3 linked regions of the Anolis sagrei genome follow. The protein of the gene in region 2 binds, or shares a complex with, the protein of the main gene of each other region. Links are inferred from orthologs where the notes say so. Each region holds a gene or a part of one and is shown on either strand. Other genes may lie near its edges.

Region 1 (10,580 bases), on a different chromosome or scaffold from region 2:
TTCAATTATTGTTATTTATTATTAAATTATTTTTAATTATTGTTATAAAATTAATTAAATTATATGAAACCTTTTTGTGTGTTAATAGAAAACACGATTAAAAGAAAAAAAAGAAAATCATATAAAATTAGCAAAAAGAAAAAAAAAAGAAAAATTATTCTGATTAACATGTTTTAAAAGACACTGTAATCCCTGACTGCTACCTTCCCCTGCTTCAAAGCTTCACCGTTATATCTAATCAGAAGGGACAATTCAATTAAAGAAGAGGAAAGGATATATCCTTGCCGGAGTCGCTCTCGACAACCACGTCCTCCATAGATTCAAAGTACTGGCTCCACGGGACCGGGGAATAGTCACGTTTCCTTCCAGGTCTGAAAGAAGAAACGTGGATAGTTTATATATAATGACAGTACAATTCATTCTCACAGCGGTGAGACCAGCATTCCCAGTTTCATCTTCCCACACAACAAAATATGTCCTCACTGGGGACTTTCTCCTACAGGCAATTCCAGGGTAAACTTCTGCTTACCTAGAAAAAATCCTAGAAAGGCATCCATTTAATTGCATGTATTATTCTGTGCCTCCGTCTGTCTGTTTGTCTGGAAGAGGAAATGCCAAATCCTTTTTGCCAAGCACTGTCAATAGCATCATTAATTCTAGTAAAGATAATGCTATCTAGCTCCTTACCTTCTTCTCCTATTCTGTTCTGTCCCACGTTCCAGTTTTTAAAATTATTATTATTATTATCATCATTTTTATTATATGAATAAAGTATTATTATTAATAAATTAGCCATCCCCTGCTGTGGCCGTCTGCGTATATGTGTTTTGTGTGTGTATATGTGTCTGTGTGTATATATCTGTGTATATATGTGTGTTTGCATATATATATGTGGGTGTATATATATATATATATATATGTGTGTGTGTGTGTGTGTATATATGTGTGTATATATTTGTGTGTTTATATGTATACATGCATATTGTGTATATGTGTGTATATATGTGTGTATATATGTGTTTGCATATATATATGTGGGTGTATATATGTGTGTGTGTGTGTATGTATATATTTGTGTATATATGTGTGCTTGCTTATATATACATGGGCGTATAAATGTGTGTTTGCTTATATATATATGGGTGTATATGTTGTGATAGAGTCTGCTGGCAGTGATAGTAACACTAGTTGTATTAGGAAAGGCAGGAGAACTACTCGCGAGCAAGACTATGATGGACCATAAACTATACTTCTTTAATTGGCTGGCGTCTGACCTTGACAGTATATGTGTGTATATATTTGTGTATATATGTGTGGACTTTGATGGACTAATTCCCTGGACTATTTTGTTCCGGCTTATCTTCCTACCTAATTGGATTTACCTATACCTTTAAAGTGCTTTTTTACTTTTACTGCTTTTTAATTGTCTTCAATAAACAGATTTAATTGTCTTCAATAAACTCAGAGGGCTTTTCCTGGTCTGGATTTGGGGATGAAACCAAACCAACCCCACTGGATACCAATGGGCCTATTGTAATTACTATTATTACATTCAAGAGCCTTTTTCTAGGAAAGGAATGATGCACCTTGCAACTGAAGAAACGCAAGCTGAAAAGCAGGACAGTCTATAGATAATACACAACTGCACCTCAAAAGCAAGAGCAAATTATAGGGATGCCCCATCCGCACGCAGCCAACAGCTAAAAAGGACCTGCCAATTATATTATATCCCAATTATATTTCTTAAAATAGCTGCGAATGGAGAAAGAATGAAAAGTATGAGGTCCGTACAAAAGGTTGTTGGACTGTAATTCCCGGCAAATCTAACCAGCACATCCCCAAACTTAAGAAGAATATCCTCATATCCTTAACTGCATCTCCAACTTAATAATATCCTTATATATTTACCGGTAATAATAATAATATCCTCAAATACGTAATTGCATCCCCAACTTAATAATAATATCCTTATATATTTACCGGTAATAATAATAATATCCTCATATCCTTAACTGCATCCCCCAACTTAATAATAATAATAGCTTTATATATTTAATAATAATAATATCCTCAAATACCTAATTGCACCCCCAACTTAATAATATCCTTATATACTTAATAATAATAATATCCTCATATACTTAACTGCATCCCCCAACTTAATAATAATAACATTAGCCTTATATATTTAATAATAATAGTATCCTCAAATACCTAATTGCATCCCCAACTTAATAATATCCTTATATATTTAATAATAATTTTAATATCCTCAAATACCTAATTGCATCCTTATATATGTTGTAATAATAATAATAATAATAATAATAATAAATCATAATAATAATAATAACGCCGCCCTGAGTTGCCTTCGGGCTGATATGAGCGGGATACGAATGTTGCAAATAAATAAATAAATAAATATCCTCATATACTTAACTGCGTCCCCAACTTAATAATAATAATAATAATAATAATAATAATAACCTTACATATTAAATAATAATAATAATATTCTCATATACTTAACTGCATCCACAATTTAATAACAACAACAATAATTGTAATAATGTGTTGTCGAAGGCTTTCATGGCCGGAATCACTGGGTTATTGTGATTTTTCTGAGCTGACTAGCCATGTTCCAGAAGCATTCTCTCCTGATGTTTCGCCCACAACTATTTTATCTATTTATTTATTTTATTTAGCAATTTTGTATACCGGTCTTCTCCCCTCTATCGGGGGACTCGGGCCGGTTTCCAACAATAAAATCACAAAACAATCATTAAAAACATCTTATGACATATTCAATTAAAACGTTATAACAGCAAAATGCAATCACATAATAACAATGGTCAGTCGTCATAGTGAATCCGTTGTCCATCATTCATCGTCATCTATCCGATCACAAAAATATTGATTCACTCGTTGAAAGCCAAACCCCATAGCCAGGTTTTCACCCATTTTCTGAACGACAGAATGGAGGGGGCAGTTCTGATCTCCAGCGGGAGAGAGTTCCAGAGTCGAGGGGCCACCACCGAGAAGGCCCTGTCCTCTGAGGTCTGTTGGAAACTAGGCAAGTGGATTAAGGTTCAGTGTGGGAAAAAGAACTCTTGTCTGTTTGAGGTAGGTGTGAATGTTGCAATTGGCCACCTCGATTAGCATTTAATGGCCTTGCAGTTTCAAAGCCAGGCTGATTGCTGCCTGGGGGAATCCTTTGTCGGGCTTTATATACCTGTGGATTAAGGTCCAGTGTGGGAGAAAGAACTCTTGTCTGTTTGAGGTAGGTGTCAATGTTACAATTGGCCACTTTGATTAGCATGTAATGGCCTTGCAGTTTCAAAGCCTGGCTGATTGCTGCCTGGGGGGGGGGGAATCCTTTGTCGGGTGTTGTTAGTTGGTCTTGGGTTGATTCTTGTCTGGAATTCCTATGACCCAGTTAGGGCTGGCTAAGACCTCCCAACAAAGGGTTTCCCCAGGCAGGAAGCAGCCAGGCTTTGAAGCTGCAAGGCTTTCCAATGCTAATCAAACTCACAGAAACCCAATAATAATGGCCCTGGTTGTTTCTTGTCTGGAATTCCTATGACCCAATCAAGGCCAGCTCAGACTTCCCAACAAAGGGTTTCCCCAGGCAGGAAGCAGCCAGGCTTTGGAGCTGCAAGGCTTTGCAATGCTAATCAAACTCAAAGAAACCCAATAATAATGGCCCTGGTTGTTTCTTGCCTGGAATTCCCCTGACCCAATCAGGGCCAGCTAAGACCTCCCAACAAAGGGTTTCCCCAGGCAGGAAGCAGCCAGGCTTTGAAGCTGCAAGGCTTTGCAATGCTAATCAAACTCACAGAAACCCAGTAGTAATATCTTCATATACTTAATCAATCTTCTTATGCATAATAATAATAACAATAATAGTAATTGTAGTGGAATTCCTTTGAAAGGTGAAAAAACCCACCATGACGTCACCCTTTGCCTCCCTCCCCGTGACGTCACGCAGCCCCCTCCCCTCGCGTGACGTCACCCCTCACCCAGATCTTGGGCCTCACCCCATGCGCATCTTGGGGGCCCCTTGAGCGCCCATCCCGGCCGGGCCCGGTCCTCGGGGCGGGAGGCGGCCCAACTGCAGCTGCTTCTCCAGCGCCGACATGGCTGCCACCCCTCAGGAAGGCAGGAAGCGGCGAGAAAGGGCACCGGGACTACAACTCCCGGCATGCCCCGCGCTCCCGGCACACTGCTCCTCCTTTGAAGCCCCGCCCCGGAGCATCACGGGATGGCGAGTCCTTTCTTTTTCCTCCTTTCATTTTACGCCGGGTCTATCTCTGACGTACACCGGAAGCGGCGAAAAAGGGCATCGGGACTACAATTCCCGACGTGCCCCGCGCTCCCGGCACGCTGCTCCTCGCTTGAAGCGCCGCCCCGGAGCAGCACGGGACATCGAGTCCTTTCTTTCTCCTCCTTTCATTTTACGCCCGGCCTGTCTCTGACGTAGACCGGAAGTGCACGCAGGGCAGCACGGGAAATGGAGTTCTCTGCGGCTGAGAGGCCGATAAGAAAGAGCCGGCTTAGAGACACACGCATGCGCGGTTCAGGGCAGCACGGGAAATGGAGTTCTCTGCGGCTGAGAGGCCGATAAGAAAGAGCCGGCTTAGAGACTCGCGCATGCGCGGTTCGGGGAATGGCCGCAGCCGGGCTTTCCTCCCGCCGGTTTCCCAGGAAGCATTGCGAGCCGCGGCCTGCGTTGCCAAGCAACGCGAAGCGGCCTAGTCGTAGTTGAAGCCTCCTGGGAGTAGTTGAAGAAGGATGAAGCAGAAGAAAAAGGCGGCGAAGGGCTTCTCCTCCCCGTCCCTCTCCTCTCGGCCTGGGCGCAAGCGGAAGGGTGAGAATCGGGGGGAAGTTACAATTCGCCATGGGGCAAAAGGCAGTTATTTATTATTTATTTATTTATTAGATGCACTTATTGACCGCCATTCTCAGCCCTTACGGGCGACTCATGGCGGTGTACAGTACACATAAAAAGACAGTTACAGAGGCCAGTATCAACAACATATGACTATACAACAAATACAAACTACAAACTACATAAAAATCCGCTTCGTCTCTTAGTAGAATCATAGCCAGTCTCATCTTCCTTATACCATTCCAGTTCTCATTACCGTAATGTTGTTGCTTAGCACTTAATTAAATGCCCTCTCGAACAGCCAGGTCTTAAGGCTTTTTCGAAAGGACATGAGGGAGGGCGCCTGTCTGATGTGTGCCGGGAGAGTGTTCCACAGCCGGGGGGCCACCACCGAGAAGGCCCTCTCCCTCGTCCCCGCCAGCCGTGCCTGTGATGCAGGCGGGATCGAGAGAAGGGCCTCCCCAGACGATCTCAAGGTCCTCGTGGGCTCGTAGGCCAAGATGCGGTCCGAAAGGTATTTTGGGCCGGAACCGTTTAGGGCTTTGTAGGCCAAGACCAGCACCTTGAATTGGGTCCGGTAGCAAATCGGCAGCCAGTGAAGCTGGGACAACAAGGGCGTTGTGTGCTCCCTGCTACCCGCTCCAGTTAGTAACATGGCTGCCGCACGCTGGACCAGCTGAAGCTTCCGGGCCATCTTCAAGGGCAGCCCCACGTAGAGAGCGTTGCAGTAATCCAGGCGGGATGTGACAAGAGCGTGTACCACCGTGGCCAAGTCAGACTTCCCGAGATATGGGCGCAGCTGGCGCACGAGCCTAAGCTGTGCAAATGCTCCCCTGGTCACCGCTGAAACCTGGGGATCCAGGCTCAACGATGAGTCCAGGGTCACACCCAAGCTGCGAACCTGCGCCTTCAAGGGGAGTGCGACCCCGTCCAGCACAGGCTGTAACCCTATATCCCGTTCGGCCTTGCGACTGACCAGGAGTACCTCTGTCTTGTCTGGATTTAGTTTCAGTTTGTTCGCCCTCATCCAGACCGTTACAGCGGCCAGGCACCGGTTCAGGACCTCGACAGCCTCCTTAGTAGCAGGTGGGAAGGAGTGACAGAGTTGGACATCATCTGCGTACAGATGACACCGCACCCCGAAACTCCGGATGATCTCACCCAGCGGCTTCATGTAGATGTTAAACAGCATGGGGGACAGTATGGAACCCTGTGGCACCCCACAAGTCAAAGGTTGTGGTGCGGAACAGGAGTCCCCCAATAACACCTTCTGGGTGCGACCCTCCAGAAATGACCGGAGCCACCGCAAAGCAATGCCTCCAAGACCCATTTCCGCAAGGCGCCCCAGAAGGATACCGTGGTCGACGGTATCGAAGGCCGCTGAGAGGTCCAGGAGCACCAACAGGGACACACTCCCCCTGTCTAGCTCCCGGCGCAGATCATCCACTAAGGCGACCAAGACCGTCTCGGTACCATGCCCCGGTCTGAAACCAGACTGTGCCGGATCCAGATAATCCGTGTCTCTCAAGAATACCTGGAGTTGTGAGGCCACCACGCTTTCCATGACTTTGCCCAAAAAGGGGAGATTGGAAACAGGCCGAAAGTTGTCCAATTTAGTGGGGTCCAGTGATGGCTTCTTCAACAGCGGCTTTATAATAGCCTGTTTTAGGCTCGCTGGAATCTTGCCTTCCCGAAGGGAGGCATTCACCACCACTGTTACCCACTCGGCCAATCCCCCTCTGGCCTCTCTCAGAAGCCAGGATGGGCAGGGGTCTAGGATGGACGTGGTGGGCCTCATTCCTCCAAGTATCTTGTCCACATCCTCGGGTTTCACAAACTGAAAAGAATCCAACAAAATAGGACAAGCAGGTGCTCTCGTTACATCCACAGAGTCTGCATCTAACGCGGCGTCCAGCCCAGAACGGATCAAGGCGACTTTGTCTGCGAAGAACCGAGCAAATGCTTCACAGCGCGCGACCGAATTGTCAGGGCTCCCACCTGCAGAGGCGGGAGTTAAAAGACCTCTGACAATCCGAAACAGGTCCGCCGGACGGTTCTTTGCAGACGCAATAGTGGCCGCAAAGAAAGTTTTCTTTGCGGTCTTTATTGCCGCGGCATATGCCCTAAGAAAGGACACAAACCGTGCTCGGTTTGACTCGCTCGGTTCCGAACGCCACACGCTCTCTAGTTCCCTCTTCCTTCGCTTCATAGCTGCCAGCTCCTCAGTAAACCAAGGGGCTGGTTTAGCTCGGCTACTTGAGAGGGGACGTTCCGGAGCGATCATGTCAATAGCCCTGGTCATCTCCCCATTCCAGAGAGCGACCAAGGCTTCGACATGGTCACCTACCGAGGTGGCGGGAAAATCCCCAAGAGCCGTCAGGAAGCCATTCGGATCCATAAGCCTCCTGGGGCGGACCATCTTAATGGGTCCTCCACCTTTGCAGAGGTTAGGGGGCGCAGTGAGCCTAAATCTGATCAGGAAGTGGTCGGTCCATGGCAACGGAGAGATGGACAACTCCTCCACACCGCCACCCTGTTCCCATCCCTGACAGAAAACCAAATCCAATGTGTGTCCAGCACAGTGGGTGGGGCCAGATATTTGTTGGGACAGCCCCATGGTTGCCATGGCAGACATGAAGTCCTGAGCCGCGCCTGTGAGGGTCGTCTCGGCATGGACGTTGAAGTCTCCCAGCACAAGAAGCCGTTGAGACTTCAATGCCAGGCTCGAGACCACCCCCGCTAGCTCAGGTAGGGAGACTGTAGTGCAGCGAGGTGGACGGTACACTACTAGAATCCCTATACTGTCCCGGTCACCCACCCTCAGGTAGACGCTTTCGTTAAAGCGGTATCAAACCGCGTTAAGCCCGCAGTGTAGATGCACCCCATAGCCTGCGTGGAATAGAATGGATATGTCATTGTGTCATTCTATAATGTCACGTTTCTCTCTTTCACCCTCCATTCGTGCCTCTTTGAATTCTGCAGCACTGCTGGTCACAGCCGACCTCCAACTGGAGCACTCAAGGGCCAGGGCTTCCCATTGCCACAGTTTTTGAGATTGACGGTCCTGGTCAGGGTTGGCTTGATGTGCCTTCCTCTTGGTACGTTTCTCTCTTTCGCTCTCCATTCGTGCCTCTTCAAATTCTGCAGCACTGCTGGTCACAGCTGACCTCCAGCTAGAGCGCTCAAGGGCCAGGGCTTCCCAGTTCACAGTGTCTATGCCACAGCTTTATTATTATTATTATTATTACTACCTTATTAACACCTTTGTTGTTTTGTTGTTGCTGTTGTTATCTGATGCACAACAAGATGAGTACACAGTGAACAAGATCACTCTGCTGGCTGCTGTATTGGATCACATGTTGGACACCTCCCAGTTGTCTAGGACTTGACACATTTCTCTCTTTCGCCCTCTATTCTCACCTCTTCGATTTGTGCAGCACTGCTGGTCACAGCTGACCTCCAGCTGGAGCGCTCAAGGACCAGGGCTTCCCAGTTCTCGATGTCTATGCCAGAGTTTTTAAGGTTGGCTTTGAGCCCATCTTTAAATCTCTTTTCCTGTCAACCAACATTCCGTTTTCCAAGTTCGAAGTAGAACAACTGCTTTGGGAGACGGTGGTCGGGCATCCGGACAACATGGCCGGTCCAGCGGAGTTGATGGTGGAAGACCATCACTTCAATGCTGGTGGTCTTTGCTTCTTCCAGCACACTGACATTTCTCCGCCTGTCTTCCAAAGAGATTTGCAGGATTTTCCGGAGGCAGCGCTGATGGAATCGTTCCAGGAGTTGCATGTGACGTCTGTAGACAGTCCACATTTTGCAGGCGTAGAGCAGGGTTGGGAGGACGATAGCTTTATTGCATTCAAATCACCCCTGACAGATGGTCATCCAGCCTCTGTTTCAAAGCTTCCAAAGAAGGAGCCTCCACCACACTCCGGGGCAGAGAGTTCCACTGCTGAACGGCTCTCACAGTCAGGAAGTTCTTCCTCATGTTTAGATGGAATCTCCTCTCTTGTAGTTTGAAGCCATTGTTCCGTGTCCTAGTCTCCAAGGAAGCAGAAAGGAAGCTTGCTCCCTCCTCCCTGTGGCTTCCTCTCACATATTTATACATGGCTATCATATCTCCTCTCAGCCTTCTCTTCTTCAGTCTAAACAGGCCCAGATCCTTAAGCCACTCCTCATAGGGCCTGTTCTCCAGACCCTGGATCATTTTAGTCGCCCTCCTCTGGACACATTCCAGCTTGTCAATATCTCTCTTGAATTGTGGTGCCCAGAATTGGACACAATATTCCAGGTGTGGTCTAAACAAAGCAGAATAGAGCATGGGGAGCACGACTTCCCTAGATCTCTAGATACTATGCTCCTATTGATGCACTATGCTCCTATGAATCATTCACATTGTCTAAATAACTGTGTTCTAATGCTTTTTCGCAGATCTCAGTGACATTACCCCTTCGACAAGCTTGCCGCCTCTCGTGGAAGGACAGCTACGCTGCTTTCTGAAGCTGACCGTTAGCAAGATCCTATGGATGGTTTCCAAGCCACCATCTTCCTTCCTGATCCGGGTGCGGTGGTGGGGAGAGACCTCAGATGGCACTGTTTTCACTCCCCGTGACCCCTCGCAAGCAGAGCAAAAGACACTGAAGACTACCACTCGCTACCCAGTTCGGTGTGGACCAAAACAGTTTACCGCCTACCTGACAGGTACTGATTGGATCCTTGATGCTTAAGTATCTAAATTTTTTTTGCTTTAGGATTGGAATTCACTCTTAAAGCAAAAACTAGAACGGACAGGAATTGCTGGGTTGTTGTAGGTTTTTCCAGGCTATATGGCCATGTTCTGGAGGCAATTTTTCTCCTGACGTTTCGCCTGCATCTATGGCAAGCATCTTCAGAGGTAGTGAGGTCTGTTGGAAGTAGAAAAAATGGGTTTATATATCTGTGGAATAACCAGGGTGAGACAAAGGACTTTTAGGTTCTTGTGGGTTTTTTCGGGCTATAGAGCCATGTTCTAGAGGCATTTCTCCTGACGTTTCGCTTGCATCTATGGCAAGCATCCTCAGAGGTAGTGAGGTCTGAGGATGCTTGCCATAGATGCAGGCGAAACGTCAGGAGAAATGCCTCTAGAACATGGCTCTATAGCCCAAAAAAACCCACAAGAACCTAGTGATTCCAGCCATGAAAGCCTTCGACAATACAAAGGACTTTTGTCTGCTGGGGCTAGGTGTGAATGTTTCAGCTGATCACCTTGATTAGCATTCAATGGCTTGGAAGTGCCTGGGGGGAATCTTTTGTTGAGAGTGATTTTATGTGCCTGTTTGTTTCCCCTCTGTTGTTTTGCTGTTGTAATTTTTGAGTTTTTTAATACTGGTAGCCAGATTTTGTTCATTTTCATGGTTTCTTCCTTTGATTGACTAAATGTGATAAGTAGGAAACTGACTTTCCTTGAGGTCCAGTTTGGAGGAAATTGCAAGATTTGCTTTGCTGATTGGCTGCCCAGCTCTGCGTATTCTGATCAATGACACCTCTGTAGTGTCTTCTGCAACATTTTCCCCAGCCTTGTCGTTGGAATTGTATCCTTATAATTAAGTTGAACTTTCTCACAGTTTGACAGTAGAATATGCTGCTTTGGAGTTGTGTTCTCTTCTTTGGTGGTTTTTAAACAATCCCATTACCAGTGGCTTGGTAATTTTGA
Region 2 (10,194 bases):
GACCGTGCTCTGACCTACAGGAAACACTGCCTGAATATCAAGCAAAAGGTGGGTGTTAGAAACAATATCATAGGAAAGCTGACTGGCACAACCTGGGGATCACAACCAGACACAGTGAAGACATCTACCCTTGCGCTATTCTACTCTGCTGCTGAGTATGCATGCCCAGTGTGGAACACATCTCACCACACTAAAACAGTGGATGTGGCTCTTAATGAGACATGCCGCATTATCACAAGGTTTCTGTGCCCTACACCACTGGAGAAACTACACCAGGGGTCCTCAAACTTTTTAAACAGAGGGCCAGGTCACAGTCCCTCAAACTGTTGGAGGGCCGGATTATAATTTGAAGGGAAAAAAATGAATGAATTCCTATGCACACTGCACATATCTTATTTGTAGTGCAAAAAATAATAATAATTTAAAAACAATACAATAATTTAAATGAAGAATAATTTCAACAAATATAAACTTATTAGTATTTCAATGGGAAGTGTGCACCTGCTTTTGGCTGATGAGATAGGATTGTTGTTGTTGTTGTGCGCTTTCAAGTCATTTCAGACTTAGGTTGATCCTGAGCGAGGGCCGGGTAAATGACCTTGGAGGGCCATATTCGTCCCTCGGGCCTTAGTTTGAGGACCCCTGAACTACACTGTCTAGCCGGTATTGCACTACCTGACATCCGCCGGGAAGTAGCAGCCAATAGTGGAAGGACCAAGGCAGTGACATCTCCAGCTCATCCCGTTTGGATATCAGCCTGCACGTCAACGATTAAATCACAAAATAGTTTTCTAAGATCTACAGAGACACTCGCTGGAACACCCCAGCAAGCAAGAGTCCAAAAGTGGCAGGCTCCAACCCAGAATCTCAATCCATGGCTGATACCAAATGAGAGACACCTCCCGCCCCCCCGGGCACACAGAAGACTCGGCGACTTGGAAGGCGCTGAACAAACTGCGCTCTGGCACCATGAGATGCAGATAAACTGTAAAATTAATGCAGCTTAGTACCACTTTCCCTGCCATGGGTCAGTGCTTGCTGAGCCACCAGACCTCTCTGGAAGAGAAAGACCGTGCTTCTCAACTGTTCAACTGAAGGTTTAAGTTACTGAAGTCCCAATCAGAAGGAGAGAAGGCACTTCAGAAACTGAACGAAAACTGTTATCTCAGTCAATCTTTAAGGTGTTCTCTAGTAGAGAAGGTTAAATACCTTGTGAAACTACAACTCCCACAATTCTATAGCATTGAGCCAGGGCAGTCAGTGGTGTCAAACCACATTTATTCGACATCGTAGATGCACCCCATGCCTTTGAATTGTATGGTAAATATTGTCTGCGCCAAGAACTCTTAACATTTGATGCCTTTGCTCACTTGGCTTGTCCTTTCTCTTCAGATCCTTAAACGGTGCTCAACTGAAGTTTTAAGTTACTGAAGTTTCCCGCAAAAAGAGGCATGTCAGGAAATTTTCATCTTTATTTCAGTATCTAAGGTACTAACTTTGTTTCCCTTTTTCTTCAGGCCCCAAAACTGTGCTTCTGTAATGTTGGACTGAAGTTTTAAGTGACTGAAATGCCAAATAAATAAATATTGAGCATTTCAGAAACTGAAGAGAATTGCATCTTAATTCTTGGGAGTCTTCAAAGTGCTAACTTTGCCTACCCTTTTGCTTCACACCTCTCAACTATGCTTCTAAAATGCTCAACTGACATTTCAAGTTGCTAAAGTACCAAAAAAGTGGTCACTTAAGTAACTGAAGGGAAATTTCAACTTTAAAAAAGTTAGGTGGGGGTAACTTAGATTCAATAAAGTTAGCAAGTATTTCCTCTGATAATTTTGCCTGCTCTTTCTCTTCAGACCCCTAAAGTGTAATTCTAAAATGCTTACGTTACTCAAATACCAAAAAATGGTCACTTGAGTAACTGAAAGGAAATCTCAACTTTAACATAGTTAGGTTAGGTAGGGTAACTTAACTTCAATGGAGTTGTGGGATAACTTAACTTCAATGGAATGATCAAGTATTTCCCTTGATACCTTTGCCCACCCTTTCTCTTCAGACCCCTAAAGTGTAATTCAAAAATGTTTAAGTTACTTGAGTAATTGAAGGGAAATCTCAACTTTAACAAAGTTAGGTGGTGTAACTTAACTTCAATGGGGTTGTGGGATAACTTAACTTCAATGGAATTATAACTGAAGTTAATAAAATAAAAATTATCAAGTATTTCCCTTGATACCTTTGCCCACCCTTTCTCTTCAGACCCCTAAAGTGTAATTCTAAAATTTTTAAGTTACTCAAGTATCCAGAAAACCAGTCACTTGGATAACTGAAGGGAAATCTCAACTTTAACATAGTTAGGTGGGGTAACTTAACTTCAATGGAGTTGCGGGACAACATAACTTCAATGGAGTTATTAAGTATTTCCCTTGATACTTTCACCTGCCCTTTTCTCTTTAGACCCCTAAAGTGCAATTCTAAAATTTTTAAGTTACTTGAGTAACTGAAGGGAAATCTCAACTTTAACATAGTTAGGTAGGGTAACTTCAATGGAATTATCAAGTATTTCCCTTGATACCTTTGCCTGCCCTTTCTCTAAAGTTTAATTCTAAAATGTTTAAGTTACTCAAGTACCTAAATAAATAAATAAATAAATAAATAAAAATTGGTCACTCGATTAACTGAAGGGAAATCTCAACTTTAACATAGTTAGGTGGAATAACTTAACTTCAATGGAATTATCAAGTATTTCCCTTGATACCTTTGCCCGCCCTTTCTCTTCAGACCTCTAAAGTTTAATTCTAAAATGTTTAAGTTACTCAAGTACCTAAATAAATAAATAAATATTGGTCAATTGACTAACTGAAGGGAAATCTCAACTTTAATATTCTTAGGTGGGGTAATTTAACTTCAATGAAGTTGTAGGACAACTTAACTTCAATGGAATTATCAAATATTTCCCTTGATACCTTTGCCCGCCCTTTCTCTTCAGACCTCTAAAGTTTAATTCTAAAATGTTTAAGTTACTCAAGTACCTAAATAAATAAATAAATATTAATCACTTGACTAACTGAAGGGAAATCTCAACTTTAACATAGTTAGGTTGGGTAACTTAACTTCAATGGAGTTGTGGGATAACTTAACTTCAATGGAGTGATGAAGTATTTCCCTTGATACCTTTGCCCGCCCTTTCTCTTCAGACCTCTAAAATATTTAACTCTAAAATATTTAAGTTATTCAAATAAATAAATAAATAAATATAAATTGGTCACTTGACTAACTGAAGGGAAATCTCAACTTTAACATAGTTAGGTGGGGTAACTTAACTTCAATGGAATTATCAAATATTTCCCTTGATACCGCTGCCTGCCCTTTCTCTTCAGATCCCTAAAGTTTAACTCTAAAATGTTTAAGTTACTCAAATACCTAAATAAATAAATAAATATTAATCACTTGACTAACTGAAGGGAAATCTCAACTTTAACATAGTTTGGTGGGGTAATTTACTTCAATGGAATTATCAAGTATTTCCCTTGATACCTTTGCCTGGTCTTTCTCTAAAGTTTAATTCTAAAATGTTTAAGTTATTCAAATACCTAAATAAATAAATAAAAATTGGTCACTTGAGTAACTGAAGGTAAATCTCAACTTTAACATAGTTAGGTGGGGTAACTTAACTTCAATGAAGTTGTGGGACAAATTAACGTCAATGGAATTATCAAATATTTCCCTTGATACCTTTGCCCGCCCTTTCTCTTCAGACCCCTAAAGTTAGGTAGGGTAACTTAATTTCAATGGAGTTGTGGGATAACGTAACTTCAATGGAATTATCAAATATTTCCCTTGATACCTTTGCCCGCCCTTTCTCTTCAGACCCCTAAAGTTAGGTAGGGTAACTTAATTTCAATGGAGTTGTGGGATAACGTAACTTCAATGGAATTATCAAATATTTCCCTTGATACCTTTGCCCGCCCTTTCTCTTCAGACCCCTAAAGTTTAATTCTAAAATGTTTACTCAAGTACCTAAATAAATAAATATTAATCACTTGGCTAACTGAAGGGAAATCTCAACTTTAACATAGTTAGGTGGAGTAACTTAACTTCAATGAAGTTGTGGACAACTTAACTTCAATGGAATTGTCAAATATTTCCCTTGATACCTTTGCCCGCCCTTTCTCTAAAGTTTAATTCTAAAATGTTTAAGTTACTCAAGCACCTAAAGAAATTTTTAAAAAATTGGTTAAATAAATAAATATTGGTCACTTGATTAACTGAAGGGACATCTCAACTTTAACATAGTTAGGTGGAGTAATTTAACTTCAATGAAGTTGTGGACAACTTAACTTCAATGGAATTGTCAAATATTTCCCTTGATACCTTTGCCTGCCCTTTCTCTCCATGAAGTGACGTCAATAAGTTACTAAAGTATGGGTAAAAATAGAGTGGTTTCAGTAATTGAAGGAAAAAATCTCGTCTCTGTTCTGTCAGTGAAGTCTCCAAGGTGCTCCCAAAACCACCTTCAGTGGGAGAGGGAAAAAAAGAGCAAATTTGGGGATTTTCCCCTTCACAAGTTCAATTCTGAAACCAAACACTTTCTTTTTGCCACAGAAGCAGTCTCAAGAGCAGGCATGGGTCAACTTGGGCCCTCCAGGTGTTTTGGACTTCAACTCCCACAATTCCTAACAGCCTCAGGCCCCTTCCTTTTCCCCCTCAGCCGCTTAAGCGGCTGAGGGGGAAAAGGAAGGGGCCTGAGGCTGTTAGGAATTGTGGGAGTTGAAGTCCAAAACACCTGGAGGGCCCAAGTTGGCCCATGCCTGCTGAAGAGGCCTCCCTCCCGCCCCTTCCTCCTCCTCCTCCTCCAAGCCCTCCTCCCCGCCTCAGGCCTGACCTGGCTCTTCTCCTTCTTGGTTTTATTCGGCATGGCCGACTGCTTGGGTGTCTGCTGGGGGCCCGCCAGGCCTCCCTCAGAGTTGGTGGTGTGTGTGGCGGCCCCGTTGCCTCACTCCTTCTGAGTCCTCCTCCTCCTCTTCCTCCTCCTCCACCGGCCGGCCAGCCAGCCGGCCTCCCTCCCTTCCCTCCTGCCTTCCCTCCTTCCTTCTCCGGCTCCCAGGAGCGACTGAGGAGGAGGAGGAAGCGGCCTCCGCCTCCGTCCGCAGCCCTCTCTCCGCTTCGAAAGAAAGAAGGCGCCGCCCGATTGGTTGCCGCGGGTCACGTGGAGGCCAACGTTCTTCTCCCTCAGGTCCTCCTGCTCCACCCCGCCTTCGCCCAACCCCAATAGACTTCAACTCCCAGACGCCTCCGCCGGCTTGGCCCACGGTGAGGGATTCTGGGAGTTGGAGTTCAAAACACCAGGGTGCTTGTTGAGAGCCTCCCTTGTGGTATGGTGGTAGGGGAAGGCGTGCAAGCTTGACGCCACGTTACCTGCCAAGGCTCAGGGCCCTTCCACGCAGCCATATAACCCGCAATATCAAGGCAGAAACGTGGAGTTTCAGAAAAAGCATCTATTTCTGTTTTATTGACTAAAGCCTTGGACTGTGTGGATCATAATAAATTGTGACAAGTTCTTGGTGATATGGGCATACCAATGCACCTCTTCTCTCTCCTGAGGAATCTGTATAAGGACCAAGTAGCCACATAGAATCATAGAGTTGGAAGAGACCTCATGGGCCATCCAGTCCAACCCCCTGTCAAGAAGCAGGGATATTGCATTCAAAGCACCCCTGGCAGATGGCCATCTAGCCTCTGTTTAAAAACCTCCAAAGAAGGAGCCTCCACCACACTCCGGGGCAGAGAGTTCCACTGCTGAACAGCTCTCACAGTTAGGAAGTTCCTCATGTTCAGATGGAATCTCCTTTCTTGTAGTTTGAAGCCATTGTTGAACTGACCATGGAACAACGGACTGGTTCAAGATTGGGAAAGGCGTACGGCAGGGTTGTATCCTCTCACCCAACCTATTCAACTTGTATGCAGAACACATCATGCGATGTGTGGGGTTTGACGAATGAAAGGCTGGGGTAAAAATGGCAATCACAACCTCAGATATGCAGATGACACCACTGATGGCCGAAAGCGAGGAGGAGCTGAGGAGCCTTCTAATCAAGGTGAACGAAGAAAGCGCAAAAGCTGGGTTGCAGCTAAATGTAAAAAAACCCCAAGATTATGGCAACTAGAATGACTGACAACTGGAAAATAGAGGGAGAAAATGTGGAGGCCGTGACAGACTTTGTATTTCTAGGAGCAAAGATTACTGTAAATGCAGACTGTGGCCAGGAAATCAGAAGACGCTTACTTCTTGGGAGGAGAGCAATGTCCAGTCTCGATAAAATAGTAAAGAGTAGAGACATCAGACTGGCAACAAAGATCCGCCTAGTCAAAGCCATGGTATTCCCTGTAGTCACCTACGGATGTGAGAGCTGGACCTTAGGGAAGGCTGAGCGAAGGAAGATTGATGCTTTTGAGCTGTGGTGTTGGAGGAAAGTGCTGAGAGTGCCTTGGACTGCGAGAAGATCCAACCAGTCCATCCTCCAGGAAATAAAGCCCGACTGCTCACTGGAGGGAAGGAGATTAGAGACAAAGTTGAAGTACTTTGGCCACATCATGAGGAGACAGCAAAGCCTGGAGAAGACAATGATGCTGGGGAAAGTGGAAGGCAAAAGGAAGAGGGGCCGACCAAGGGCAAGATGGATGGATGGCATCTTTGAAGTGACTGGACTGAAACTGAAGGAGCTGGGGGTGGTGACGGCCGACAGGGAGCTCTGGCGTGGGCTGGTCCATGAGGTCACAAAGAGTCGGAGACGACTGAACGAATAAACAACAAATCTGAGTCCACACTGCCATATATTCCAGTTCAAAGCACCACAATTCAAGAGAGATATTGACAAGCTGGAATGTGTCCAGAGGAGGACGACTAAAATGATCTGGTCTGGAGAACAAGCCCTATGAGGAGTGGTTTAAGGAGCTGGGTATGTTTAGCCTGAAGAAGAGAAGGCTGAGAGGAGATATGATAGCCATGTATAAATATGTGAGAGGAAGCCACAGGGAGGAGGGAGCAAGCTTGTTTTCTGCTTCCCTGGAGACTAGGACGCGGAACAATGGCTTCAAACTACAAGAGAGGAGATTCCATCTGAACATGAGGAAGAACTTCCTGACTGTGAGAGCCATTCAGCAGTGGAACTCTCTGCCCCAGAGTGTGGTGGAGGCTCCTTCTTTGGAAGCTTTTAAACAGAGGCTGGATGGCCATCTGTCAGGGGTGGTTTGAATGCAATATTCCTGCTTCTTGGCAGGGGGTTGGACTGGATGGCCCGTGAGGTCTCTTCCAACTCTTTGATTCTATGATTCTATGAAACTGAGATTTTACTTGGAAGGGGTCTCAGAATATCAAGGCAAAAAATCCCACAATATCTGCTTTGAACTGGGTTATCTGAGTCCACATTGCTATATATGTTGTTGTTGTTCATTCGTTCAGTCGTCTCCGACTCTTCGTGACCTCATGGACCAGCCCACGCCAGAGCTCCCTGTCGGCCGTCACCACCCCCAGCTCCCTCAAGGATTGCTATATATATTCCAGTTCAAAGCAGATAATCTGAGATTTTACTTGGAAGGGGCTTCAATATCAAGACAAAATAATCCCACAATATCTGCTTTGAACGGGGTTATCTGAGTCCTGTTGTTTTTTATTTGTTCAGTCACTTCCAACTCTTCGTGACCTCATGGACCAGCCCGCACCAGAGCTCCCTGTTGGTCATCACCACCCCCAGCTCCTTCAGGGTCAATCCAGTCACTTAAAGGATGCCATCCATCCATCTTGACCTTGATCGCCCCCCCCCCTTCCTTTTTTCTTCTATTTTCCCCAGGATCATTGTCTTCTCTAAGCTTTCCTGTCTTCTCATGATGTGGCCAAGGTACTTCATCTTTGTCTCTAATATCCTTCCCTCCAGTGAGCAGCCGGGCATTATTTCCTAGAGTATGGACTGGATGGATTTTCTTGCAGTCCAAGGCACTCTCAGAACTTTCCTCCAATGCCACCATTCAAAAGAGTCTATCTTCCTTCGCTCAGCCTTCCCTATGGTCCAGCTCTCACATCCGTAGGTGACTATGGGGAATACCATTGCTCTAACTCTGCAGATCTTCATTGCCAGTGCGATGTCTCTACTCTTCACTATTTTATCAAGATTGGACATTGCTCTCCTCCCAAGAAGGAAACAGCTTCTGATTTCCTGGCTGCAGTCTGCGTCTGCAGGAATCTTGCACCTAGAAATACAAAGTCTGTCACGGCCTCCATGTTCTCTCCCTCTATTTGTTATCAATCAGTCTGGTTGCCATGATCTTGGGGTTTTTTTATGTTTAACTGCAGCCCAGCTTTTGCGCTTTCTTCTTTCACCTTGGTTGAAGGCTCCTCAGCTCCTCCTCACTTTTGACAGCCATGGCTAAATGCTATGGAATGTTGGGGTTTGTAGTTTAGGATGGCCCCAGTAGTCTTTGGCAGAGAAGGCTAAAAGGCCTTGCAAAACTACAACTCCCATGATTTCATATCAATAGTCATAGCAGTTCATCTCCAGCCCATCCCCTTTTTGGATATCCGCCAGCACGCCAATGCCTTAAATCAAGAAATAGTTTTCTAAGATCTACAGAGATACTCACAGGAACATTTCAGCAAGCAAGAGTCCAAACGTGGCAGGCTAAAATCCAGAACCTCAAGCCATGGCTGATACCGAATGAGAGACTCTCTCCTGGGCACACAGAAGACTGAGTGACTTGGAAGACGTTGAACAGACTGCGCTCTGGCACCACGAGATGCAGAGCCAACTTTAAGAAATGGGGCCACAAAGTGGAGTCCATGACATGCAAGTGTGGAGAAGAGCAAACCACAGACCACCTATTAAAACGAAGTCTGAGCCCTGCTACATGCACAGCGGAGGACCTTCTTACAGCAACACCAGAGGTACTCCAGGTGGCCAGCTACTGGTCAAAGACATTTAGTATAATGCCAAGTTTTTAAAACTTTGTGTTTTTAAATACATTTCAACTGTACCTCGGTTCACAAACGTTGGCCCTCCAGGTGTTTTGGACTTCAACTCCACAATTCCTAACAACCCACCGGCTGTTAGAAATTATGGAAGTTGAAGTCCAAAAAACCTGGAGGGCCCAAGTTTGTCCATGCCTGGTCTACACTGCCATATAAACCAGTTCAATGCAATTAATCTGCACTCTGAAACTGAATTCAGTGGCTGCGTAGAAGGGGCCTTAATCTCAAGGGAAGGCAAGGGCAAATTCCCTCTGAAAAAATCTTGCCAAGAAAAAACCCATGATAGATTAACCTTCGGGGTAAGAAACGACTTGAAGGCACATAACAACAGTTAGGATTTGATTAATTTTTAAATTATTTATTTTTAGTCATTACCTCGCTTGAAGGCCTACTTTGAGGCAAAAATATGACCTATAATTTTGTTTTAGTGAATAGTGAATTTATTCCTTTGCATGGCCCTACACTCTGAAACAGACAAAAAGAATATTTCAGAAAAGACTGAAAATATCTTAGCTGTATGTTCGGTATCCATTCTTTCATTTCAGGCTGGATTTACACTGCCATTTAATACAGTTTGGAACTGAATTGTATGGTTAATGCAGACCATATAATGCAGTTCAATGTAGTTTACCTTGTATGTATGTATGTATGAGTCTACACTGACCATATATGGTAGTGTATTTGGGGCCTATGATTAGCTTCCAAGGTCAGACAAGATCTGGTGCCTTTAAGGTATTTAGCTTACACCAAAGTTAAAAAATAAATAAAACTAAAAATCTATTGAAGCAAAAGTGTGTTTTTTAAACCCCAAATCTCCAATGCAGATTTCAATATTTATTTATTTATTATTTCACATTTTGCCTTGCACAGAATCAAATGGAGATTACAATAATCTATTTTAACTATTTTGTTTATTTAAAAATCTACAGAGACTTTTATTGTCAAAATAATTAAAAATGCTGTCCAGGTTGGCAGTCAAGGCAAAAAGAACCTGGAAAAAGGAAGGCTACTATATCTATGGGTCTTAAGTTGTAACGTGGGCCCCACCTACACTGCCATATAATGCAGTTCCATAATAATAATAATACATCATTTATACCTCATCACCATGTACTGAAGGGATGGGGCAGCTAACAAAGCACTCAAAGATGCAAACACACAAAATACAAAAAATGCAG
Region 3 (10,209 bases), about 230 Mb from region 2:
AAACAGGCATGGGGAACCTTCGGCCCTCCAGGTGTGGTGGACTTCAACTCCCACAATTCCTTGAGGCTCGGCATTCGCCCCAAAGGCTTACCTTGGCCCAACGAGGTTTGTTTGGCTCTTTTTCATGGAGGACGGGCAGCAAAGGGGGAGAGACGAGCGTAACGTAGCTATGCAGATGGCGAGGAAGGATGCGGAGCCCACAGACTGGCCTCGGAGGGAGAGAGCGGGCGGAAACCCCTGCGGGCAACGCGCCTCCTCGCCACTTCGGCCCTTAGCAACCGCCCCGCATGGACCCCCTCCCTAGCTATAGCCACTTTGAACTGCAGGTCACATGTTACTAGCAAGGCTATTTCTAGTGCCACAGAACTTTCTTGTGCCCCTCTCCCCCAAAATGCATGGCAGGACACTACAGGGCCTGGCCATGCCCCTCTGTATAAGTGTGACATCCCCCCCCCCCATTTTGTCCAAGAGGACAACAACATTCCCTGTCTCTGTAAACAGCGCAGAGCCCTTTCCCTCCAGCCTTCGCCTTCCCTTTTCCCCGACAAGCTCTGCACGACGTCACTCAGCCGGCGTCGTTGCTAGGGAGGGGGTCCATGCGGGGCGGTTGCTAAGGGCCGAAGCGGCGAGGAGGCGTGTTGCCCGCAGGGGTTTCCGCCCGCTCTCTCCCTCCGAGGCCAGTCTGTGGGCTCCGCATCCTTCCTCGCCATCTGCACAGCTACGTTACGCTCGTCTCTCCCCCTTTGCTGCCCGTCCTCCATGAAAAAGAGCCAAACAAACCTCGTTGGGCCAAGGTAAGCCTTTGGGGCGAATGCCGAGCCTCAAGGAATTGTGGGAGTTGAAGTCCACCACACCTGGAGGGCCGAAGGTTCCCGACCCCTGCCCTAAAAGCACCCAATCCCTTCTGATCTTGGAAGCTAAGCAGGGTCAAGCCTTGGTTGACAGTTGGATGGGAGATGCCCAATGAATATCATTTGCTATAGGCTAGATTTCAGCAGAAGAAACTTGCAAAAAAACGTGAGTAAAACTTGCCTATGGAAATCCAATGGAATTCATGCAGTGGCCATCAGTAAACTAGGACACCATTGGCACTGACCACAAAACCGCCAAAAGAAATCCCTTCTTGCACATCAGTGTTCTCTGGTTTGTGTTAATCCCCATCCAGGCCTCAAATTGGTTTTAGGATTTCCTATATAATAATCTGCACAGGGAAACCACTTTCTGCAATACCAATTTGACACAGCATTACATGGTCAGTGCAGATGTGGGCTAGGAGTGTCTCTACACTGTAGAATGAATATAATTTGACTCCACTTGAACTGCCATGGCTCAGTGCAATGGAATCCTAGTTATGGTAGTTCCACAACGTCTTTAACCTTCAATTTTTTTTCATCATGTCAGAAATGACTTTGAAAAACTACAAGTCGCTTCTAGTGTGAGAAAATTGGCCATCTGCAGAGACGTTGCCCAAGGGATGCCCAAATGTATTACCATCCTGTGGGAGACGTCTTACATGTCCCCGCATGAAAAGCTGGGGCTGAGAGATGGGAGCTCACCCAGTCTCATGAATTCGAACCTCTGACCTTCTGGTCAGCAGTTCAGCCAGCACAAGGGTTTAAGCCATTGTGCACTGTGAGCTCATTTGACCTTCACTGTTAAAGAGGGCTGGTGTTTCACAAAGCTGCAACTCCTATGATTACAAAGCACTGGGCCATGGCAGTTAAAGGGGTGTCTAACTACTTTGATTCTACAAAGTGAATTAGTGTTGCCAAAGGCTTTCATGGCCAGAATCACTGGGTTGCTGTTGAGTTTTCTGGGCTGTATGGCCATGATCCAGAAGCATTCTCTCCTAATTAGCATTATACCCTAAGTCAGGGGTCCCCAAACTAAGCCCTGGGGCCAGATACAGCTCTCTAAGGTCATTTACCCAGCCCTCGCTCAGGGTCAACCAAAGTCTGAAATGATTTGAAAGCACACGACAACAACAACAACAACAACAATTGTATCTCATCAGTCAAAAGCAGGCCCACACTTCCCATTGAAATACTTGTTATTTGTTAAAATTGTTCTTCATTTTAATTATTGTATTGTTTTAAGTGTTTTTTTGCACTGCAAATAAGGTATCTGTAGTGTGCATAGGAATTCATTCATGTTTTTTTTTTAATTATAATCTGGCCCTCCAACAGTTTGAGGGATTGTGACCTGACCCTCTGTTTAAAAAAGTTTGAGGACCCCTGCCCTAAGTAGTCCCAGCCTAAGAAAATCCAGTGAAATTCCTGTGGTGGCCATTAGGCGACTAGTAGGCAGCAGCATCACTGCTGAAAACACAACTGAAACATCATTGTACCTTTTCCCTTCCTAAAATACAGGCAGTCTCCAAGTTACAAACCTCTGACTTATAAATGACTCACAGTTAAGAATGGGGATGAGACAACAGGAAGTGAGAGAACTCTCACCTTCAGAAGGGAATTTTTCTCCTGCTACCTCATCACACTAGAGAATGAATCCTCTATAAATCCGGTTGCTGCCTCCTGCAGAATTCTGTGGTTTGTAGTTTAGGGAGAAGGCTTTAACAGCCTCACTAAACTACAAACCCCAGAATTCTGCAGGAGTCAAAAACCAAAACGCCCTTCCTAGAGACATTAGATCGGCCCTCTCTCTTTTAGCATTCTGGAGGAAAGTCAAGACCTGCCTGTTTGAGAAAGTGTTTGAAAAGGCAGTGTAACAGACATAGGAATAAGGAACGATTGGATGATGAGACTGGACCTTGATTTTAACTTGGAGATGTTCACGATCTATGTTTTATTGACTTCGTTATGATTGTATATTTATGTTAATGTTTTAAATGTTTTATGATGTTGCTGGGCATTGAATTTTGCCTCTGTAAACCGCCTTGTGTCGCCCGTGGGCTGAGAAAGGCGGTATACAAATTTAACAAATAAATAAATAGTGTGCTGAAGTGGCTGCTGGAAGAGTTATCATAGGCAAAAGGTATTTCCACTGAAGCTGTATCACCAACCCTTATTGCACAACAAGCCCATTTTTTTAAAATGCAATGATCACAGGGACAGAAAGTGAGGCGAAATCCTCTGAAGAGGGGCATAGGGACCAACACAAACTCCACAGGGGTGTGTCCACCCTTCTCTATGCTATCCATAGTTCAGGCCCATAGCCAGGATTTTGATTGGGGGGGGGGGGGCTGAGTTTGATTCGGGGGGGCTAAGTTTGATTCTGGGGGGGGGGTGAGGATCTACCCTAGCAAACCTTTTGTATCATTGTCCCAATACCCCCATGCATATGGGATATATTGAAAATGGTGATCAGATCATGATATGAACAAACATAACAATTTAAATAATGTACCAGTAACGCCTTCTTGCAAACCACCCTGAGAATTTCAGGGAGGGGGCTGAAGCCCCTCAAGCCCCCCACCCCACCCGGCTACTGGCTTGCCATAGATAAATAGAAAGATAGACAGGGCCATAGCCAGAAAAAAAATTCAGGAGAGGTTGAAATTTTCGGGGGGGGGGGGGGGTTGAAACCTGCCTCCTAGCTCACGCTGAAGCAAAGAGCACAGCAGGGGGCAGAGCAACCTTCAATAGCCTGCAGCTCCGCCCCTGTCAACCACCTCCACCAAGTCTGGCCTCCTTAATGAGAGCATTCAACACACACACCCCCAACTTGGTTGCTTCACTACACTGGCTATTGCTGCAAGTAATAACAGTGTGAATAAATTGTCAATATTTGCCTGAGATAGTGCTTGCAGTTCTGGAGGGACTCATAGACTTAGCATGGGGATTTGGTTAACCAGTTAAAATTTACTGAAACATTTCGGGGGGGGGGGGGGGTTGAACCCCTAACACCCCACCCCCCCTCGCTACAGGCCTGAAGATAGATAAGATAGTTAAAACCTACCTGACAAATGAATTCAACTTCAGAACAAACCTATTGAAAAAGAAATCTTCTCTTGTTCGTAAGGTAGGGCTTGCCTGTATATCTTGAGGTATAGCTTTTCTGTCTAAAATTAGAAACAAGCACCACCCCGTTCTGGACGAGGGTTTCTGAATGTAGGAAAGGAGATGTCACCTAAGGAAGAGCAGTTGGACAGCGGAATATGATGATGCCTTGGAAGGGCGGCTATAGAGCAGGGCTGGGCCAACTTGGGCCCTCCAGGGGTTTTGGACTTCAACTCCCAAGCATTCCTAACAGCCTCAGGCCCTTTCCTTTCCCCTCTAAGCCGCATAAGCGGCTGAGGGGGAAAAGGAAGGGGCCTGAGGCTGTTAGGAATGCTGGGCGTTGAAGTCCAAAACTCCTGGAGGGAGGGCCCAAGTTGGCCCGGGCCTGGCGTAGAATGAATATGCTGGACCTTCATACCTGTTGGTGGGTGTGCTGGGTTCCGAGGCGCTGAACGGGGGGTGCGGCGAGTAGGAGGGCGAGGCGGGCACGCTGCCCCCGCCGACCCGGTGGTCCTCGCCCGGCTCCTTGCTCTCCTTCCTCCGGAGGCGCCACGGGCCGAACCCCGAGCGCTTCTTCCGCGCCCCCGGGGAGCTGGCCTGGCTGCTGGCGCTGAGGCGATGCTCCCGTCGCGGCTCCGGCGCCGGGGAAGGGCACGGAGACGGCAGCGAGTCCGCTTCGGAGTCCTCCGACTCGCTCCGGTGCCGGAAGAGCCTCCCCAAGCGGCGCAAACCCGCTTTCTCCATGGTGGGACCCCCGGCGAGAGGGACGGAGGAGGCGACGCTGCTGCTCCGGGGGCGGCTTCGTCCCTCGCGCGCGTGAGGCGACGGTTACAGAGAGGGAGGGGGGGGGACTCAGGAGCGCCCAGGTGTTCTGTGGCGCGCGCGAAACCCCGCCCCTCCCTCCGCCCTCGCCCCGCCCCGCCCTCCGCTTCTTGCGCAACGTCCACTGCCAGGGATTCCCTCTTCCCCCGCCCACTGAGGCTCACCTCAAGTGCATCCCTGCACTCTAGAAGAGGCATGGGCAAACTTCGGCCCTCCAGGTGTTTTGGACTTCAATTCCCACTCTTAAATTAAATCCCACCATTCTCCCAGCACCAGGCATATAGGGGGGGGGGCTTGTGGGGCTTCAGCCCCCCCCCCCCCGAAATTTTCAGGGTGGTCCACGAGAAGGCCTTACTGGTACATTATTTAAACTGTTATGTGTATTCATATCATGATCTGATTACCATGCTCAATATATCCCATATGCATGGGGGTATTGGGACAATAATACAAAAGGTTTGCTAGGGTAGATCCTCACCCCCCCAACCAAAGTCACCCCCCCACAATCAAACTCAGCCCCCCACCCCATCCCCGAATCAAAATACTGGCTACGGACCTGCCCAGCACATATATGAGATTGAGAGCCCTCAGTGGCACAGCGGGTTAAACCGCTGAGCTGCTGAACTCGCTGAACAAAAGATCAGTGGTTTGAATCCGGGAAGCAGGGTGAGCTCCTGTTATTAGCCTCAGCTTATGACAACCTAGCAGTTCAAAAGCATGCAAATGTGAGTATGTAGATCAATAGATACAGCTCTAGCAGTAAGGTAAAAGCGCTTCATTGCAGTCATGCCAGCCACATGACCTGGAGGCATCTACGGACAACACCGGCTCTTCGGCTTAGAAATGGAGATGAGAGCCCCCCCCCCCCCCACTTCTTAAAAAATTGATCCAACTTCACTGGACATATACAATAAACTATAGTTATTTATTTATTTACTACATTTATATGCCACCCTTCGCACCTTGAAGGGGACTCAGAGCAGCTTACAAGTAATATGTGAATACAATATATTATATTATTACCGTAGCACAATATTAGCATTAGCTATTACTATATTGTACTATACCATTATATTGTAATATTATGTTATTATTATTATTTACTATATTTATAGCCTGCCTTCCACAGCCATACGGCAACTCAAGGCGGGTTACAGACTGGCACAATTCAATGTCAGGCGTTCATAAAAGTGCCATTAAAAACAATCAACATTACAATATAAAACATAAATAAAAACAGTTAAAGCATATAATCATCAGTGTCATCTTGTTAAAAACATTATCCAGTAACATCGCCTGGCCATTCCATGTTCATCATTCATAGTTCCGTGTTATCTATTCCGCTGCATTCTCAAAAGCTTGCTCAAAGAGCCAGGTCTTTACTTTTTCCGGAAAGTCAGGAGGAAGGGGGGCAATCTAATATCCCTGGGGAGGGGGTTCCATAATATTATTAGTACTATTACATGTAATATAAAATATATAATTAGAATACTATATTAGTGTTATTAGTATTATATTGTATTACATTACACATTATCCCAGGATTCGAACCAACAACCTGTCAGTCTCCAGTTCTGCTGGCACAAGGGTAGGTTCGAATCCAGGGAAAGCACGGATGAGCTCCCTCTGTCAGCTCCAGTTCCCTGTGCGGGGACATGAGAGAAAGATGGCAAAACATCAAAATATCTGGGCATCTCCTGGGCAACTTCCTTGCAGACGGCCAATTCTCTCACAACAGAAGTGACTTGAAGTTTCTCAAGTCACTCCTGACACAAAAAAAACACCTACCTCCTAGAGTACGATACAACAAAACTTAATGTCGGGGGAAGACATTTACCTTTACCTATGAGATAATATTAAAAATAACAACAGTAACAACTTTATTCTTATACCTCACCACCATCTTCCTGAAAGGGCTCAGGGTGGCTTCCAGACGGCACAAAGTGCCTAAAAATATACATAAAACTGAACACAATATAAAACACAATAAAATAAAACACATGCACATACAAATACATCAATCCAGACTCAATAAAGCTGCGGTCCTCTAACTGTGACGGGAAATTACTGGCACCATGGCCGGGCTGTAAACATTAAAATAAAATAAGTGCCACTGCAGTAATTGAGAGAAGGCATGAGATAAAGTGCAGGATGTGCTACTACTAGGTAGGACAACTAGGGGCTAAATATTCTCAAAGGCTTGATTGAAAAGCCATGTCTTCAAGTCCCTACAAAAGGAGGACAGTGTGAGGGCCTGTCTAATCTCCCTGGGGAGGGAGTTCCAAAGCCGGGGAGCCACCACTGAAAAGGCCCTCTCCCTCATCCCCAACAACTGCGCTTGAGATGGTGGTGGGACTGTGAGGATGGCCTCCCCGGCAGATCTTAGAGGCCATATCAGTTCATAGTGGAGGATGTGATCATGAATATAGACAGTACTCGAGTAGTTTAGGGCTGTATAAGTTATAACTGGCACTTTGAATTGGGACCAGAAATTTATTGGCAGACAATGGAGTTGCTTTAGTAGGGGCATCATGTGCTCTCTATAGCTTGTTCCAGTTAGTAGCCTGGCTGCAGATCTTTGGACAAATTGCAGTTTTTGAGCTGTCTTCAAAGGCAGCCCCACATAGAGTGCATTACGGATGCTATGTACATTTCAGAAGTAAACCATTTATCCCCCCCCCCTCCCTTGCACACACATGTGAGATCATTCTCTGAGCTTGGGCTCTAGATTGCAGCAAAACAATTTAAATGCCGACAGCAAATACTTTAAAAATTGATCCAGAACTTTCAAGACATCAGTAAAGATTGTCTTTTCCATTGTAATAAGGTAGCTCTTCAATTGCTCTTAATAGCTGTCCATCTGATCTGGTCAGTTTGTCTTGAAGATGAACTGGGATGATCAAGTGTCATTGACAACTCCCCTCTTAACTGAGGGAACTGAGTACATTATACATATCTGAGGACAGAATTTTACCCACAGAAAAATAGCAATTGAAAGGATCAGTTCTGCCTGCTTAACCATCAATGCAGGGCTGTTCACGTTAACATGTGCTGGAATGCTTTTTTCAGACTGGTTTCAAATGACTCAAGCGGTTTCTGCCACTTGCCCTCAGTTTCCCTTGTTGCAAATATCTGAGGAAAACAGTTCTCAGCAAAGGGACTTCTGTCGGGGGTGCTTTGCGATTTTCCTGCTTCTTGGCAGGGGGTCGGACTGGATGGCCCACGCAGTCTCTTCCAACTCTATGATTCTATTACTTCTTTTCACAGAGAAAAGTTAGATTTTGTTAGATTGTGCTGAGCTTTCTCTCTCCCCCCCCCCCCCCCCCCCCGTATCATTATATCTCCTAATGATACAACTGCTAAACTACAAATGCCAGTTTTGGTTTGACATTTGGTTTGCCTTGTCTTACATTCCAATCAGCTGTTGGAATGTAAGACATAATTGAAGAGGCATCTCTTCCAGCAGACCTACCCAGTCAGTTCTAAGTTGTGAATTTTAATCTGGATTTTATCAGGCTGTCCCTTGTGTCTGGTGACGGGAGTTTGGGAAAGTGTTGCCCTATAGATCTCAAGGTTCTGGTAGGGTAGTATAGGGAGATACAGCCTCTCAGATACTAGGTTGTTGTAGGTTTTTCGGGCTGTATGGCCATGTTCTAGAAGTATTCTCTCCTGACGGTTCGCCTGCATCTATGTCAGGCATCCTCGGAGGTTGTGAGGTCTGTTGGAAACTAGGAAAATGAGGTTTATATATCTGTGGAAAGTCCAGGGTGGGAGAAATAACTCTTGTCTGTTGGAACTAGGTGTGAATGTTTCAATTGGCCACTTGATTAGCATTTGATGGTCTGACAATTTTTAGGTGTGCCCTGTTACTACCTGGGGGAATTCTTTGTTGAGAGATGATTAGCTGTTCCTGATTGTTTCTTCTCTGGCGTTCCCCAGGGTTTGAGTTTTGTTTTTTTATTTACTGTTATAATTTTAGATTTTTTAAAAATACCGGTAGCCAGATTTTGTTCATTTTCATTGCTTCTTCCTTTCTGTTGAAATTGTCTACATGCTTGTGGATTTCAATGGTTTCTCTGTGTAATCTGACATGGTGGTTGTTGGAGTGGTCCAGCATTTCTGTGTTCTCAAATAATATGCTGTGTCCAGGCTGGTTCATCAGGTGCTCTACTATGACTGACTTCTCTGGTTGAAGTAGCGCCCAAACACCAATTAAGGAACATGAAAGGCATTGCAGACAACTTCTGAGGATGCAGGCAAAACGTCAGGAGAGAATACTTCTAGAACATGGCCATACAGCCTGAAAAACCTACAACAACCCAGTGACTTTGGCCATTACGGCCTTCAACAATGCATTCAGCACAGATAGTTTGAACCTAAATCATATAGGACTTTATAGGTCATGACCAGCACATTTAATTATGCCCAGAATTGAACAAATAGTTATTTTAACAATGAAATCACATGGTTCCTATAACTGGCCCTAGTCAGCATTCTGGCTGCAGCATTCTGGCCCCACTGTGTTTTAAAACCATTTCCTAAGGCAGTACTACATTGTATGAGTTATAGTAGTCCAAATAGGAAGTAAACAAGGTATATGTCAGTGCAGCCAGATCTGACATCTCAAGGAACAGGTGCAACTGGTACACTAGTTTAGCTGTGCAAATGCACTCCTAGCCACTGCTGAAACCTAAGCATTCAGGCTCAGAGTTGAGTCCAGGAGAATATCCAAGCTGCGAGCTGAAGATTTCAGGAGGCGTATAACCCTATCTAGTACAGGCAAAATCCTTATTCCCTGATCTGCCTTCTGATTATCCAGGAGCACCTCTGTTTTGTCTAGATTAGGTTTCAGTTTGTTTGCCCTCGTGCAGTCCTTTCCACTTACTATCCATAATTGACTGCCAAAGGGCTAAAATGAAATAAATATGTGCTGGGTTGCAACATGGATATCTTTAAAATGTCATATTGCAGGGGCATCTTTATAATCTTCCAGGTGTGGTTACTAGCTACTGTGCCTTCATTCAAATATAAAACCTAGTACTGCCTCTAGACATTTAGCATTCCAAAATAGGCTGGTTAACTGTCTGTTAATTTAATCCATATATTTTGCTTACATTATTGTATGCATATGTTTTTTTCCAAACATAAAACTAGTACACCCTCAGAGGGAGAAATCTAAAAAACTGGGGAAAACTGAAATACCATACAAAGGAATTTGGCTCAAGAAAGTAATCATAACTATTCTTTTCCTCTTAATTTTCCAAATGTATATTATATGTATGAATACATTTGTGGCACAAGGTCTTATATCTTTGTGAGTTACATAATTTGAATGTTTGTCATGAAACCCATTTCACAATGTCAGTAACACTATACATTTAAATGCTGGCAGCTGTAACAACCACTGGAACTATTTCAGTTGCTCCATTCC

Evidence for each region.
Region 1: the proteins of PPP2R5C (region 2) and PPME1 are in contact, whole or in part, in a cryo-EM structure (PDB 7SOY), measured with the Homo sapiens proteins. The link is inferred for Anolis sagrei from reciprocal best matches to the Homo sapiens genes PPP2R5C and PPME1. Residues at the interface, in NP_002710.2 of Homo sapiens: Asp180, His187, Arg188, Tyr190, Gly191, Leu194, Arg197, Ser230, Ile231, Gly234, Phe235, Ala236, Lys240, His243, Asp313, Gln341, Tyr348, Glu353, Tyr354, Glu399; in NP_057231.1 of Homo sapiens: Arg37, Lys38, Arg39, Asn192, Lys217, Val251, Glu252, Gly253, Ile254, Ile255, Glu256, Glu257, Pro345, Gln346.
Region 3: the proteins of PPP2R5C (region 2) and CRYBG1 are in contact, whole or in part, in a crystal structure (PDB 6VRO), measured with the Homo sapiens proteins. The link is inferred for Anolis sagrei from reciprocal best matches to the Homo sapiens genes PPP2R5C and CRYBG1. Residues at the interface, in NP_002710.2 of Homo sapiens: Lys183, Thr184, His187, Tyr190, Gly191, Leu194, Arg197, Ala198, Arg201, Glu226, Ile227, Ser230, Ile231, Asn233, Gly234, Phe235, Ala236, Lys240, Glu242, His243, Pro265, Gln266, Tyr269; in NP_001358171.1 of Homo sapiens: Pro1136, Phe1138, Ala1139, Met1140, Pro1141, Pro1142, Ile1143, His1144, Glu1145, Asp1146, His1147, Glu1149.

Annotation. Positions count from the first base shown.
Region 1 is NC_090023.1:5,509,352-5,519,931, forward strand, and holds the start of PPME1 (protein phosphatase methylesterase 1), read right to left. Parts: upstream 4,182-10,580; 5' UTR 4,139-4,181; coding exon 4,038-4,138; intron 372-4,037; coding exon 277-371; intron 1-276. Other genes in the region: C2CD3 (C2 domain-containing protein 3), read left to right, coding at 4,792-4,867, 9,320-9,589. UniProt on the Homo sapiens protein: Demethylates proteins that have been reversibly carboxymethylated. Demethylates PPP2CB (in vitro) and PPP2CA. Binding to PPP2CA displaces the manganese ion and inactivates the enzyme.
Region 2 is NC_090021.1:323,541,860-323,552,053, reverse strand, and holds the start of PPP2R5C (serine/threonine-protein phosphatase 2A 56 kDa regulatory subunit gamma isoform), read right to left. Parts: upstream 5,171-10,194; 5' UTR 4,913-5,170; coding exon 4,880-4,912; intron 1-4,879.
Region 3 is NC_090021.1:95,483,755-95,493,963, forward strand, and holds the start of CRYBG1 (beta/gamma crystallin domain-containing protein 1), read right to left. Parts: upstream 4,796-10,209; 5' UTR 4,701-4,795; coding exon 4,375-4,700; intron 1-4,374. UniProt on the Homo sapiens protein: May function as suppressor of malignant melanoma. It may exert its effects through interactions with the cytoskeleton.